Schizosaccharomyces pombe: one gene and its partner. The gene in region 2 interacts genetically with the main gene of each other region. Each region holds a gene or a part of one and is shown on either strand. Other genes may lie near its edges.

What was found. A genetic interaction does not mean that the proteins touch.
Region 1: mutations in ppx1 (region 2) and rfp2 together harm fitness less than expected from each alone (positive genetic interaction), as found in Schizosaccharomyces pombe (one large-scale study listed by BioGRID).

Annotation. Positions count from the first base shown.
Region 1 is NC_003424.3:1,678,061-1,683,888, reverse strand, and holds rfp2 (SUMO-targeted ubiquitin-protein ligase subunit Rfp2), read right to left. Parts: upstream 3,722-5,828; 5' UTR 3,476-3,721; coding exon 3,454-3,475; intron 3,401-3,453; coding exon 2,805-3,400; 3' UTR 2,418-2,804; downstream 1-2,417. Other genes in the region: 1-phosphatidylinositol 4-kinase Lsb6, read right to left, coding at 62-1,936; wdr70 (WD repeat-containing protein), read left to right, coding at 3,921-4,190, 4,247-5,707. UniProt on the Schizosaccharomyces pombe protein: Mediates ubiquitination and subsequent desumoylation/degradation of sumoylated proteins and proteins containing SUMO-like domains. Involved in maintaining genome stability where it acts in the cellular response to DNA damage.
Region 2 is NC_003424.3:3,944,555-3,952,368, reverse strand, and holds ppx1 (exopolyphosphatase), read right to left. Parts: upstream 5,815-7,814; 5' UTR 5,792-5,814; coding exon 5,674-5,791; exon of another isoform or gene 5,632-5,673; coding exon 4,595-5,631; 3' UTR 4,440-4,594; downstream 1-4,439. Other genes in the region: splicing-associated factor Saf2, read left to right, coding at 854-1,849; qtr2 (queuine tRNA-ribosyltransferase accessory subunit Qtrtd1/Qtr2), read left to right, coding at 2,191-2,372, 2,448-3,312; plp1 (thioredoxin domain-containing protein), read left to right, coding at 3,423-3,634, 3,679-3,831, 3,876-3,962, 4,011-4,086, 4,128-4,439; GARP complex subunit Vps54, read right to left, coding at 6,326-7,814.

The DNA.
Region 1 (5,828 bases), 2.3 Mb from region 2:
TATGATACCTTCAAAGACTTAATCCTCGGAAATAGTAGCATACTATTACACAAGACTTATATTAACACGTGCTAAAGACCGCATTGGAAGAAGCACACTGGAGTCTTTCAAAAATTACATCCTTTAACATTTTTGGAGATGAACTATCTTTGGACAACAGGGTAATATAATTTAACGGCAGAAGTGCTTCAGCATTTGACGAAAAAGACCGACCGGGTGTCGCTTGTAATAATTGGCTTCCTGGATAAGGAGGGAAAGTTTGTGAACATGAAGGGTGCAAAATACTCCCATAATCTCGTTTAATTGGTAAACCAAATTCTGCTTCTTCAGAATTCGCAGACGTTGGCTCATTTACTTCGATACGAACAACATCCTCAACAACATATAAATTAGGGAGCTCAAGTAAATCATAAATATTCATGAGGGGATTCTTTAAAACTTCAACAATATTGTAGGCTTGCCCTTTTACAAGTGAAAGTTGCCGCGAAAACATTTTCTCATCGAAATCTAAATCTTGATTGAATACGTTTCGTAAATCATCACTTAGTTTTTCCCACCATTCTCGGCTAGTCAACTTGTGTAAAAAGAGTTGCCTGGTAAACTCTGTAAAAGGTTGCGTAAATAAGGAGCGTGGTAAAGAGAGCCAACCATAAGGAAAGGACCTCCAAGAATCCGGATGTTTATAAGGGAATGCTAACGAATTATCTATCGCTCCTATTTGAAAATGTGGTCCCTTCCAAAAATCCGACGTTTGGGAAATAGCAGGGTCTACCGAGTTCGCAGACATATTAGGTGTTAAATTCGTAGATAAAAGATTAATTGATTTATAATATTCTTCATTATCACAGGGTTCGTAACAAATCTTGATCATCCAGTTATCCAAATTACGATCTGTATTACGCATTAAATAATCGAGCAAAACAAGTTTTTCAAATTCAAACCGGAATTTAAGGCGTAATTCTTCGGTCCAAAATTCGGTCTCAATTTCGTTCTCAGCTAAGAAAGGATCGAAAATGTCGAAGTCCTCGCTGGAAGCTACAGACTCCGTGTACTCTCGGGTTTCTCTATGTCGAGTACCAGGCCAGGGATGTTGAGCAAAAAACTTGGATGCAACGACGAAACCATCAAGAAACTGCTGAAAAGATCCAGTCTTTTCAGGAAGAGGCTTATTCCTTGTCAGAAAAGCTTTTCGTGCAAAATAATCATAATTGAAGGTTGGAGAAGAAATTGATGCAACAGACGTGTATGGAACTAAATACAAACCCAGACCTCTATCTAGAACACAAGCAGCGGCTTCTGAAAGATACGAAGTATTCGGAATTAGACAACTTCTCCCAAAAAAGCAAGGAAATAAATTTCGATGGAACCATTTCGTCCATTTAGGATTTAGCTTTCCATACGGTTCTTCATCTTTGGGTTTAAATACAGCTATATTTTTTTGGACTTTATTTTTCACAAAATAAGATCCAGAGGACCCCTTGGAAATAAGGACCGGGAAAACGCCGTGGGCGATTGCTTCCTTTGTAGCATCAAGGAGTCGAACGTAGTCTTTATAATCATATCCAGCGTAATGGGGGTATTCCTCCCAATGCTTTTCTGCATGCAAAACCCAAGAAGGAGCCATGAACACTGAATAGTAAACTCGGGGTTTTGAGATTGATTCAGACTTTCGTCTTCTTGCTTGCAAAGACTTGCTTAATTTGTTAGCCCATTGACCAAATTTTGACTGGGTAACTAGCCCTTTTAAGCTTCCAAAGACTTCATTTCCCTCATTTTCGTCTGGAAGAAGAAGACTCGACGAAGACGAACTGTTTGACGAAGCCCATCCATCCCTTAACGATTCTAAGGGATTGGTCTGTTCCTCATTAGTGTTTAAACTATTTTCCTGATAATTTGGAAAAGAATCGAGAGTATCTGAATGGAATGTCGATTCCATAACGCCCTGTGCAAGTACAGCACAAAAGCAAGAATCAACGAAACTCGGCTTTTTTAAAATAAAACTCTAGAATGACCGAAACGGAAAAGTGATACTATGATATTAATGAGCGTGTCAAATCACTGCTAACGTATCTCTTTCCCTAAATTGCCTAGCAAAGTCTCTGTTTTTACACTTGGAACATGGTTAGCACTTGAATCAACTGCTCATAATCTTTGCTGCAATGAGTAACGTAATGTAGCACACTGTGGGTTTAGTACGTTAAGCAGTATATATATATTATATATACAATGTTTAAATACTTGAATCGATTAGATACTGTAAATTATAAACAAACATTACTGTATATTTGAAATTCAGAAAAAACTCTTTCAGGAAACTCCCTTGAATATACTAAGATTTTTAGCTGAAGAATATTTTAATTTGCAGTAAATAAATAAATTCAACATGAAATTGAACATTACGAGAATTCCTAGTATCCCAAATAATACTCATCTAAATAGTGTATTGAAAAGATTGAATCCAGATTTGTTTTTTGTAGAAGGTTTTAGGGTAAGAAAAGCTCTAATTAATTTCCCTTGTACGAAAAATGATGAATCAATATAGAAAGAAAAGCAATTGTTTTTGTGTGATAGCCTCGAAGACGGGAATAAATAATTGAAAAAAGGGGAAATAATCGTCAATAATGAATAAATCTTTTCATTGAGGATAATAGAGCACCTTAGTTCTTATAAGCATTACAAAAACTCGTATCCTTTAAAACCATTACTGGTTATTAAAGCAAAACAAAACGTTCCAAAAAATCGCCAGCGTATTACTTAACCGCCAAATATCCTCTATGGATAACACTTAGTATCCAATCGATAAATTATAAATATAAAGGAAATATAAATTTTTTGGTTATACGCTTTCTACAATGTTGCACCGGACAAGGCACAGTCTTCTTGCGTAACTCTTTTGCACAAGTAGAACAAAATAAGTGTCCACACTTTGCAGCAAAAATGGATTTTTTCTCATCACTTACTAACTCATTTCCACATTTTGCGCATGCAATATTATTATGAGGATGGACATCATAACAAAACCCAGGTGGAGGAGATACCCTTTCGGCGATAGAATTTGATGAATCCTGAGCTTTTTTTCTTGAATTTCGAAACCCATTTTCAAGAAGGGTTCTCCGTTGGGTTTGAGACCTGTTTCTAGTCCTTCGTGCACCATAGAATATCCCCCCTCCAACAGCCACGGGAGGTCGAGTGACTGGAGAAGGAATAGAATTAATAGTTGGAACATTAGAAAGATTAGCGTCAAGGTGGTTACGGCTTGTACGAATCCTTCGACGAGGCTGGAACTCTGGTATTCTCGTTAAATCTAGCAAAGTAACTTCTGAAACATCCGCACCGTCATCTTCTATATCTTCGGTTAGGTCAATAACCTCAGGGCTTAACCTCTGATCCCTTCCTGGTACTAGAAACGTGTAGACGTTAACATATATTCTATAAACCGAAATTTTCACTTACATTCTAGTCCATGCAGATTCATACAACACAAAGCATAAACCTTTATTAAATCCCAAAGCAATTATAATCTTATCAGTTTTTTTTAATGCAACTTGTAGGTAAAATCGATCAACCCCGTGAAATTCAAATGATTCGGCATCACTGTGTGTTGAAGAAAAAGAATATGCACACTGCTATAAATCTTTATTTTTAGAGCGGCAACGAAAATATGTACTCCTCGTAAGCTTCAATGTAATCTTCTTAGGAGATAAATCAATTAGCAAAGCCTAAATCGCTAACTTGGGTAGAATGAAGTACGTAGTGCTGCCACACCCCACAACTCAGTAATTGAAACTTCTCACCCTGCACTTTTCGTTACAAAATATTTTGAACAACTTGTTGTCAGTTAGTTAAATGGCTATTTGAAAAAAATAATAGGGAAACAATATATCAGCCTCTAAAATTTTACAATATCCAGATTTTCGTAAATGGATGGCACAAATAATACAATTCCCTTACAGTTTGGCAAGCAAGCACAAACATACGATATAAATGCGTTAATTGCAAGATTCATAAGACCGAAAGAAAGCTTTTTGATAAACAGTGTAGAAAAAGAATCCGAATCAAAACTCAACTCAAAGAGTACTACTTTACAATCCTCAGACTCTGAGGATTGGGATAGCGAAGAGAATGAGGACGACATTACGGACGTTGGCGTACCAGGTTCGCATGAAATTATGTTTCCGGGACATTCTAAGGTAAGTTGATTTTGTAGTTTTCTGCTTTTACTACATTTTTACTAATTTTTGGTAAGATTGTTACCACTACTACGTTTGACAAAAATGGGTCACGTTTTTACACCGGATCTTTGGACAACACAATCCATTGTTGGGACTTAAATGGCTTGTCTGCTACTAATCCTCATCCTTTCAAAATTATCGATCCTACAGACACAAATGCTGACAATGTTGGTCGTTATCCAGTGAGCAAATTAAGTTGCTCTACTAAAAACCAAATCCTTGCATTGTATACCCATTCTCAGCCGATTTTATATGACCGTGATGGCTCGTTGATTGTACGGTTTAGTAAGGGAGATCAATATATCCGTAACATGTACAATACAAAAGGACATATAGCTGAAATTACTGATGGCTGCTGGCAGCCTGATAGCTCTCAAATATTTTTAACTACTGGGTATGATAGTACTGCGCGTATTTGGGATGTTAATCGCACAAAATCGCAATTGGAAGTTTTCGTCCATGTACCAGAAGGTTCTCACACCGGACTGTCTCGTATACCAGTTACAAGTTGTGCTTGGAATCCAGCAAAACCCGATAATTTTGCAACTGCTGTACTGGATGGATCCATACAATTTTGGCAAAAGGGTTCTCGTACTAAACGACCTGTTATGAAAATTAAGGATGCACATTTACCACAACAAGGTATTTCCTGTCTTAGTTTTTCACAGGACGGAAATTATTTGTTAAGTAGAGGAGAAGACAATGCCCTTCGTGTTTGGGACTTGCGAAATTCTAATAAATGTGTGAATGAGCGTATAGACATTTTAACTCCTAAAGCTGGAGGCAACGCAATATTTTCTCCTACCCAAAAGCTTATACTTGCTGGTTCTACAGCTGTCAATAGCATGAAAGCACCTTTATTCGTTTTAGACGCAATGACATTAGATACGAAAGCTACGTTATTCTTCGATTCCAAGTCGACGGTTACTGCTTCCGTTTCAGCTGTCTCTTGGAACGAAAAAATAAATCAGGTTTCTTTGGGGTCGGCTGATGGCAACGCATATGTTCTCTTTTCGCCTAATGAGTCCATACGAGGAGTTAAGGATGCAGCAATGCGCCCTCCTAAGTCGAAGCATATTGATGACGACTTATCTAGCACTGTGCATATAAACTCATTGAGTGGATCCGCTGGAACTTCTGATTTTGGGCTTGTAGAGGAAACGACTGAATCCGCATCAGCTTATTTTTTGGAAGCACGGCGTCGGCGCAATGCAGTACGCAAAGATCCTAAGCTTTCTCGGCAGCCTCAAGTTGGTCGCTTGCTAGAAGAAAACTCTGTCGATGACATTCCTTTGGCAACCATGCTTAATGAAGATCCTCGTGAGGCCCTTCTCAAATATGCTGACGTTGCAAAATCAAATCCTATGTTCACGAAAATGTACTCGGAAACTCAGCCAACTCCCATTTATCAAGGTGTTACAGAAGGAGATATTAGTTCTGAAGAAGGAAACCCTTCAAAAAAGCAAAAAAGATGAAAACTAAAGTTGAAAAAAATGAAAATCAACGTTCGAAAAGAATGTCAACATATTTAATGTGGGAAGATAGATTGATGGACTTATTAATATTTAGCGATGTTATTCAGCTTTACATAATGAC
Region 2 (7,814 bases):
TTAATGAATCTTAATCGAAAAGACATGGACGTTGTGCTTTCAAATGCGAAAACCATATCTTCTTATTCAACATTTAATATGGGGTAAAAGTAGAGTACTTCTAATATCTTAAAGCAAAGCAAAAAAAATAAGCTCTTTTATTATGTTATATTTTCGTTAATAAAAATCGCTTCTTCAAACATTTATTCATCACAGGTGCGATATAAGAATCTGAGTTTGTACTCTATAGCAGCTCTTTTAGCTTTCAGTATTTAATTTATTCAAATGCTATATGCATAATTCCTTCATAGTTTGGCTATGTCTTATCGTTTCGTTTAGTATATTTACAATTCCATTTTATATGTGTTAAAGTAATTATCGAAGAAAGAAGACTATGTAGGGAGAAAGTTTATAAACTGTTAATAAATCGAATTGGTGTCAACTATTATTTAGTCTAACATCGGTAATCCACAGCAATAGCTTCAACGATATCCTTAGGCTTGAAAAAACAAAACTTTTATATAGGAGTTAAATTCACCAAATTATATTTAATTTTTTGGCCATCAATGAACAGGCCAAGTGCATTTTAATTAATGTTATATTGAATCGCACTGTGGAGCCTTAATCCATTTAAAGTAGATATAGTTAGAACTCGTGGTATTTCGCAAAGATACGTTATTCAGAAATATTAATTTTTGTTGTTAACTTGCGCCAGAGCAGCAACATATAGTGTTGCTTGTAATTACTTTAATTCAGCCATTTAGATTACATTCCAGTACTTATTTTTTGTGCTGTAAATCCCATTTATTTGTTATGTGCAATTGAATGTCCCCGGTATTTTGTATAATAATTATTTCTTCATACTGATAAAAAAATGTCGTCTTCTAAAGATTGCAAAGCTACTAGCAATGTCGATCAAACAATTCCTGCATCAAACGTGAACAGTGGTGACTTTATTTCATCGAATACGAGCAGTTCTAATAGCGAAAACTCCAATATTCAAGGAAAACATTATACCCAAGTTGGAGAGGATGCCGATAATTCATTTATTTCTGAAAATACTCCTAAAAACACTTTTGAATCAACTCAAACATATGAAAATCTGGAGAGTATTTCTAAAAATGAACCAACCTCTGAAGCATCAAAGCCCTTGTTAAATGAGTTAGTTCCTGAGGAACCATTGCCAAGGGAGCCGCCTTTACCAAATGAACCAGTTCCTGAGGAACCATTACCAGGGGAACCACCTTTACCAGATGAACCAGTTCCTGAGGAACCATTACCAGGGGAGCCACCTTTACCAAATGAACCAGTTCCTGAAACAAATTGCCATAAAGAATCTCCTTTATCTGACGAAACAGTTTCCGAAACATCAAAAAATGATACTTCTAACTCCCCTACAAATGAAAACCAAGCACAGCCTTCCATTGCTTGGTCCGAGGGTCATCGGATAGCCGCTATTTGGGACCCTTCTCAACAGGCTTACTATTTTTGGGACACTTTAACAAATACGACGAGCTGGAATAATCCGTTAGAAGATGAAGAGCAGACTAGTCCCCTAGATTACACAGCGAAAGTTCAGTTCAATCGCCTATCTGGAAAGTTTATGCCAAAATGGGCTTCACCAGAGTTGCGAAGTGAAGAAAACAAAGCACATAAGCATATGGAACAGTACTTTGACATCAATTCTTCATTGAATAGTCACAATGGCCAAAGTTTACTGGCAGAACGGAGAAACAAGCGATATACCAGGAAAGAGATGGAGCAAATGAAACGAAGAACAAAAGAGAAAAAAGAAATGAAACGAAGAGCGTTATATGACATCGCTTCAGATGAAAAGGACTTCCGCCGTCGCAAAATTATCCGTTATTAATGTTTTTATTCCATTGTTTCTTTCTTGTTTGCATGTTTTATTATTACTTTAAAACTTTAAAAAAAGTCTAAACAATTTACTATAATTTATGTAATGATATTTTTTTTTTTACTTAACTAAAAACTTTCAGTTTTGTAAGACTACTGATATCCAAACAAAGCTATTTTACAACATTATAAATCGAATGTTTAGACGACCTTTTGTGTTTGAATATCTTTCAAATTTAAAAAACATTCATATAGCAATATTCGTTTAATGTGCTACAGTGAACCATCGTTATTTTGATATCGTACATGTGTAAATAGAGCAAAACTTTTGCAGCTTTATTTTGCGATTTATTGATGGCAATTTCTTCATTATCTAGTCCTTCAGGGGCTCGCGTATCTTCAGTTACGGTGAAGAACAAGGTTCTGAAGACTCCTTGCTTTTTCCTTCCTACTTCCAGAGGAACTGTTCCTCATTTGACACCTGACAATGTTGAAGAATTCGATATTCCTGCTCTCTATGTAGGGTTGGAGGATTGGTAAGGTTTAAATTTAGGACTCAAATGCTTTATCATATCTTTTTTAATTTGAATTTCTAACTAATATGTTTGTAGCTTGGATCGTCTGGAAGCCTCACCAATCTTGACTAATGAGGGAACTATCAAAAAATGGATCGCAGCACCCTCTGTCCAACCTACTTTACTTGCTCCAAGAAGAACATCTCCTTTGCCATCTGTTTCTGCAGGACAAAGTCATATTAATATCGTTACTGCAAGTGGTGCAAAGAAACTGACAAATGACTTGTATATTAAAGCTGTCCTAAAGCTTTGTCCTGAATTAGTAATTCCTTTAAATGATACCCCAACTAGTCCTCCTGGTGTCAAAAGGAAGCCAAAAATTGTGGAACGGTCTGTCAATTGGACAACTGAGTTGCTTTTAGCACTCAAAGCGACGGACGCTTTCAATACTACTAAAGTATTTTTCCCTGTTCCTGATCTGGACACTCAGTACCTTACGCCTATTTTCCAGTTTTTTCAAGAAAATCAACTTGCTAACAACATTGCTGGCTTGGCATTTTCTAACAATGTCAATCCATTACCAGCTGATTTGGTTGGTCTCCCAAGACTGAGTATTCAAAAATTTGAATCACCACTCGAAATTCTGAAATGCATTCAAAGAGGAATTGACATTATTGTTCCAGATATGATAACACAAGCTACTGATGCTGGTGTTGCACTTACATTCTCTTTCCCGCCTCCTTCTAAAGATGTGTTGAATTCTAAAATTGAACTTGGCTTGGATATGTGGGACGAAAGGTTTGCTACTGACATGGAACCATTGCAATCCGGCTGCGTTTGCAAAACATGTCGTAGATACAAACGCGCTTATGTTAGGCATCTGTTACAGGCTAGAGAGCTAGTTGCTTGGATACTTTTACAGCTGTATGTTTATATTAAAGAGCATGGTAAAGAAAGCTAACGATTTGTAGACACAATGTTTATGCCTTCACTGCCTTTTTTCAAGGAATCCGCGCCTCCATACAAGAGGGAAACTTTGATGAAGATGTTAGAAAATTTGAAGAAATTTATATGACATCTTTTCCAGCATCCCATGGATTTGGGCCGCGTAAACGTGGTTATCAAATGGATTTGACAAACGTTCAGCCTGTAGAAAACAAGCCTGCTTGGATTTCTATGAAATCTCCTTTGGAAAAGGAAATCGCCAACGAGTATGAAGCTTTGAAGGTTACTGAAAGAAAGGAGGATACTCAGGATTACAATGAACCAGAACTGCATAATAGGTAGGTTACAGTAGCGTACATATTATGTCTAATGTTGACATTAGTAACGACCCAACAGTTGATCTTTACGCTGATACGTATGCTACTCAAGCTGCAACCGAAAGTGATTCAGAATTGGAAGATGCGCTCTTTTCACAGTTGGATGAATTTGATGATACTGCTTATCGAGAACAGAGATTGGAGATGCTAAAAAAAGAGTAAGAAAAAGCTTTAAAATGATTTTAAGAATTTAACCGTTCAGATTCGCTAGAGTGGAAGCTGCAAAAGAAAAAGGACACATGCAGTTTCTTACTGTAGAAAATGAGCGCGAAGTTATGGATTTTACGCTGTATGTCAAAACATTAGCTTCGATTATTTTAAACTAATTATTTTTTAGTTCATCAAAAAAAGTTGTTATACATTTTTACCACCCTGATTTTATACGTTGCAAAATTATAGACTCTCATCTAGAGGTACGAGGAGTTCCATTTATTGCTTACGCTAACATTCTCAGAAAATTGCCAAAGTACATTGGGAAACTAAGTTTATCCGTATTGAAGCAGCCAACGCTCCATTTTTGGTAGTCAAATTGGGTCTCAAAGTATTACCAGCCGTACTTTGCTACGTAAATTCTCAGCTCGTGGATAAGATTATCGGATTTGCTGATTTAGGTAATAAAGATGATTTTGAAACTTCACTCCTAGAATTTCGGTTGCTCAAGAGTTCAGCAATCGACCGATTAAAAGAAGAGAGTTCTTCAAACAAGTCTATTTACCACGATGAACTACAAAATAATCAATCAGATGACAGTGATTTTTTTGAATAAAAGGATCTTGGGATTACAAAGTAAGAAATTTAGATCAATGTGATGTATAATATATATCCTTTTAAAAAAATTTAAAATCTATCATAAGCCTACTGATGAGTGTAGCTATCGTAAAATGTACAGAACAGAAATCACAATGGAGTCTAAAGCAGTAACTATTTTGAAGCGACTTGTTTAACTGAGTCCATAAGTAAGGGAACTACTTTCTTTCTGCTAGCAGCGGAATTTCTTTGATTCCACATACTGAGGTCGCCATTATCTTTCTCTTCAATAATTTCTAATCCTAAATTTTGTTTGCTAAGTTTTAAGAAAGAATCGGCAAGACCAGCTCCCCTTTCAGTACGCTTGTATAAAATCAATTGACGACCAAACTCGTCGTTCTTACTCAGAGATAACCCAACAATTACCAAATCAGAATTTTGCACTTCGGCAAAACTTTTCAATTCATCTTCCCATCCGAGACGTTTTTTCTTGATCCAATCTAATCCCTTTCCAACACTGGCATAATTGACGACTATTCCGTCCGGAAAATACTGTTTTAAATCCCTGCGTAGTAGATCATCAAAAGAAAAACCCTTACAGCTCTTCTTTTTCTCTTTCAGAGTATCAAAAAACTCATCTCGAACCCAATCTTTTGGCACAAATGAGCATAAGTCATTTACTATTTTAACATCGGTATCAGTAGTCTTTTCATTTTTTAAATTTCCAGTATCAATTAAAATAGGGCCAAGTGCCAAAACAGCAAGGTTGGTTGCTGTTTGGTGAAGTTCAGATACTTTGGAATCATATAGAGATCTAATGACAGGCATAAAATATCGGCAAACTAAAGTACAGCAGCTACCGCATTCCTCAATGATTCTTGGATCAGCATGTAAGGATCCCCCTTCATCTTTGTGGTGATCTATAATACCAGCGATACTGCCGTTGAAATTTTCTAGGTCTTTACGGTCCAAAGAATTGTGATCAACTAAATAAATAGGATTACTGAATATTCTTTTTGGTAATTTTACAATATCATCTAAAAAGACAATATCATCGGAAGATATTGATGCTAAGTTCAACAAATAAGACAGTTCAGGCCTAAGACGTAGCTCCTTTCGAGGAATGTTAAAAAAAGGTACTACAATCCTACCCAGCTGTTTTCTTTGCAGGCAATACGCATATACGATTGAACTAGCGCAACTGTCAAGATCTAAGACGAATTGTTAATTCTCGTCTATTACGACTAATGTACCTGCTGATTCATTTCCACTAACAAAGCTAAAAGACGGGGCAGACGATACAGTCGAAGCATTTAAGAGGAGATTTCGTATTTGCTCCCTTCCGTTTTCTAAAAATCTGCCTAATTTCATTGTACCAAAAGATTGAAAAGGTTACTTCAGGCTTTAGGTGCAAGCCAATATATCTAATCTATTACTACCAAAGTAACAAGTTACTCAATATAGCAAGGAATTTGACTGATACACTTAAATCAATTATGAGTATTTTCATAAGGAATTGAATAAAGGTGATAAAAACAATAATAAATGAGAGAAGATGAAAAGAAATTAAATCGGTCGAAAACATTACGCTCCCATGAGATTTCCGAATTAAATGAGTAATACTCTAAATCAAAACTGGCCGATTAGTAGTCATAAGTGAATTTGTATTCGTCATTGTGAATACTAGAACTATCGATAGAATGGAGAATTTTATAGAGAAGCTGCTTGGTTCATAACTTGCAACAAAATTTTTGGATTCTTAGAATTCATTCAGGTTAGTAAATTGTTAAACCAAAATGTAAAATTCCAAAGAATATGACGGTAACTCGAGCACAAAAGCAGATAACCAAAATACCTGTCAAGAAAAGAACTAAAATAGATTACAAAAAACGACGAAACAAATGTTTAAGCCGCTTCCTGCTGTTCCGGAGTACGTTCAAATTTTTCCAATAAAGTCCGGTCTCCTGCATATCCGCATTTAGATGCCATCATGTCATAAAAATAGGACAAATCAATACGAACGCCTGGCCATTTGGATGGATTTCTTGCAATATCCGTAAGTTCCAACTGCAGTCTATCTTCGAACATCCGAATTACATCTGGTATTACTTCTACACAGTCACGTTGTGAGTAGCGATGTAAAACTTTGTAGAGCTTTATAAGACTTTTTGAAAGATCAATAATGTATCCATGAGGACTGTCAATATCCCACGAAAGAGAAGCAATCTGGGAACAACTGATAGCAACTCGTTCCCTCATGAGACTAACAAACTTATCATGAATTTGTAAGTGATGAACGGTGAAATCTTGATCCAACTTATTAGTTTCATTGGTGAGTCGAGTTCCTGTTACTCTTGACAAGTACCTGCACATTGAATTAAGGGATAATTGAAACAATGCGATAGTTTGAGAGGCAAGTGCAATATGCTTCCCAAGTACTTTACTAAGGCCAGACGACCGCACTGTCCCCGCTCCCAATATTAATTGATAAACCCGAGAATTGAGTGTACGAAACATATCTAGCATACCAGTCTGAAACTCTGGAGCCAATCTTGAAAAGTGAGCAAGAAGTTTACCATAATCATCCAATGTTTCTAACAACGTAACAGAGGACCGAACAATATGTAATGATTGTTTTCCAAACGAAACCGTAGCAGTACAGTCCTCTGAAACTTTTACATGGTGAACCCTATGATTTTCATCTTCTTTTTCTGCTTCAGGAGATAATAGTCGCGTCCATTCTACGGGAGTATTACCGGAGCATTCAAACACGCGATTAGCTAGATCTTGACAGGATGGTTCAACAGGTATCGCTTCCCATAGCTCCCTTTCAAAGCTTGATGCCAATTTCTGAGTAGAATATCGTTGAAAATTTTTAAACCAGTCCAGTAATTGCCTCATTATAGTTGGAATAAATGAGCTTTGTGTGATTCCGCAAAGACTTTCAAGCTCATTATGAAAAATTATGTGTAAAGAAAAAAGGTATATAACATTATTAGGAGGATAAGTATCCAAGACTCGAAATCGAAGATTATTAATAGTTGTCACTTGTTGTGTAACAACATCGGAACTCGTGGCCATTAAATCATTAAGAATCACAGATAGGTGATATTGTTTAGTATCTTTTTTCGATAAAATATCTATTAAAACTTTTATTTGGCTGCGAATGCGACGCAGACATTCCAATGATGAAAAATATATATTCGTCAACATTTCTGCAAATTCCGTGATGCTCATGCTCTGAAAAGGATTCGCCGCTGATGAACTTCTTCTAGAGCTATCTGAAAGACTAGAAAGGCTGGCTGCACTCAAGCTGCGACGTAAATCAGAGGATTTACGAACACTGCGCATCTCTACACCATCGGTAAAATACTGTTGTGCTAAATTTTCAAAT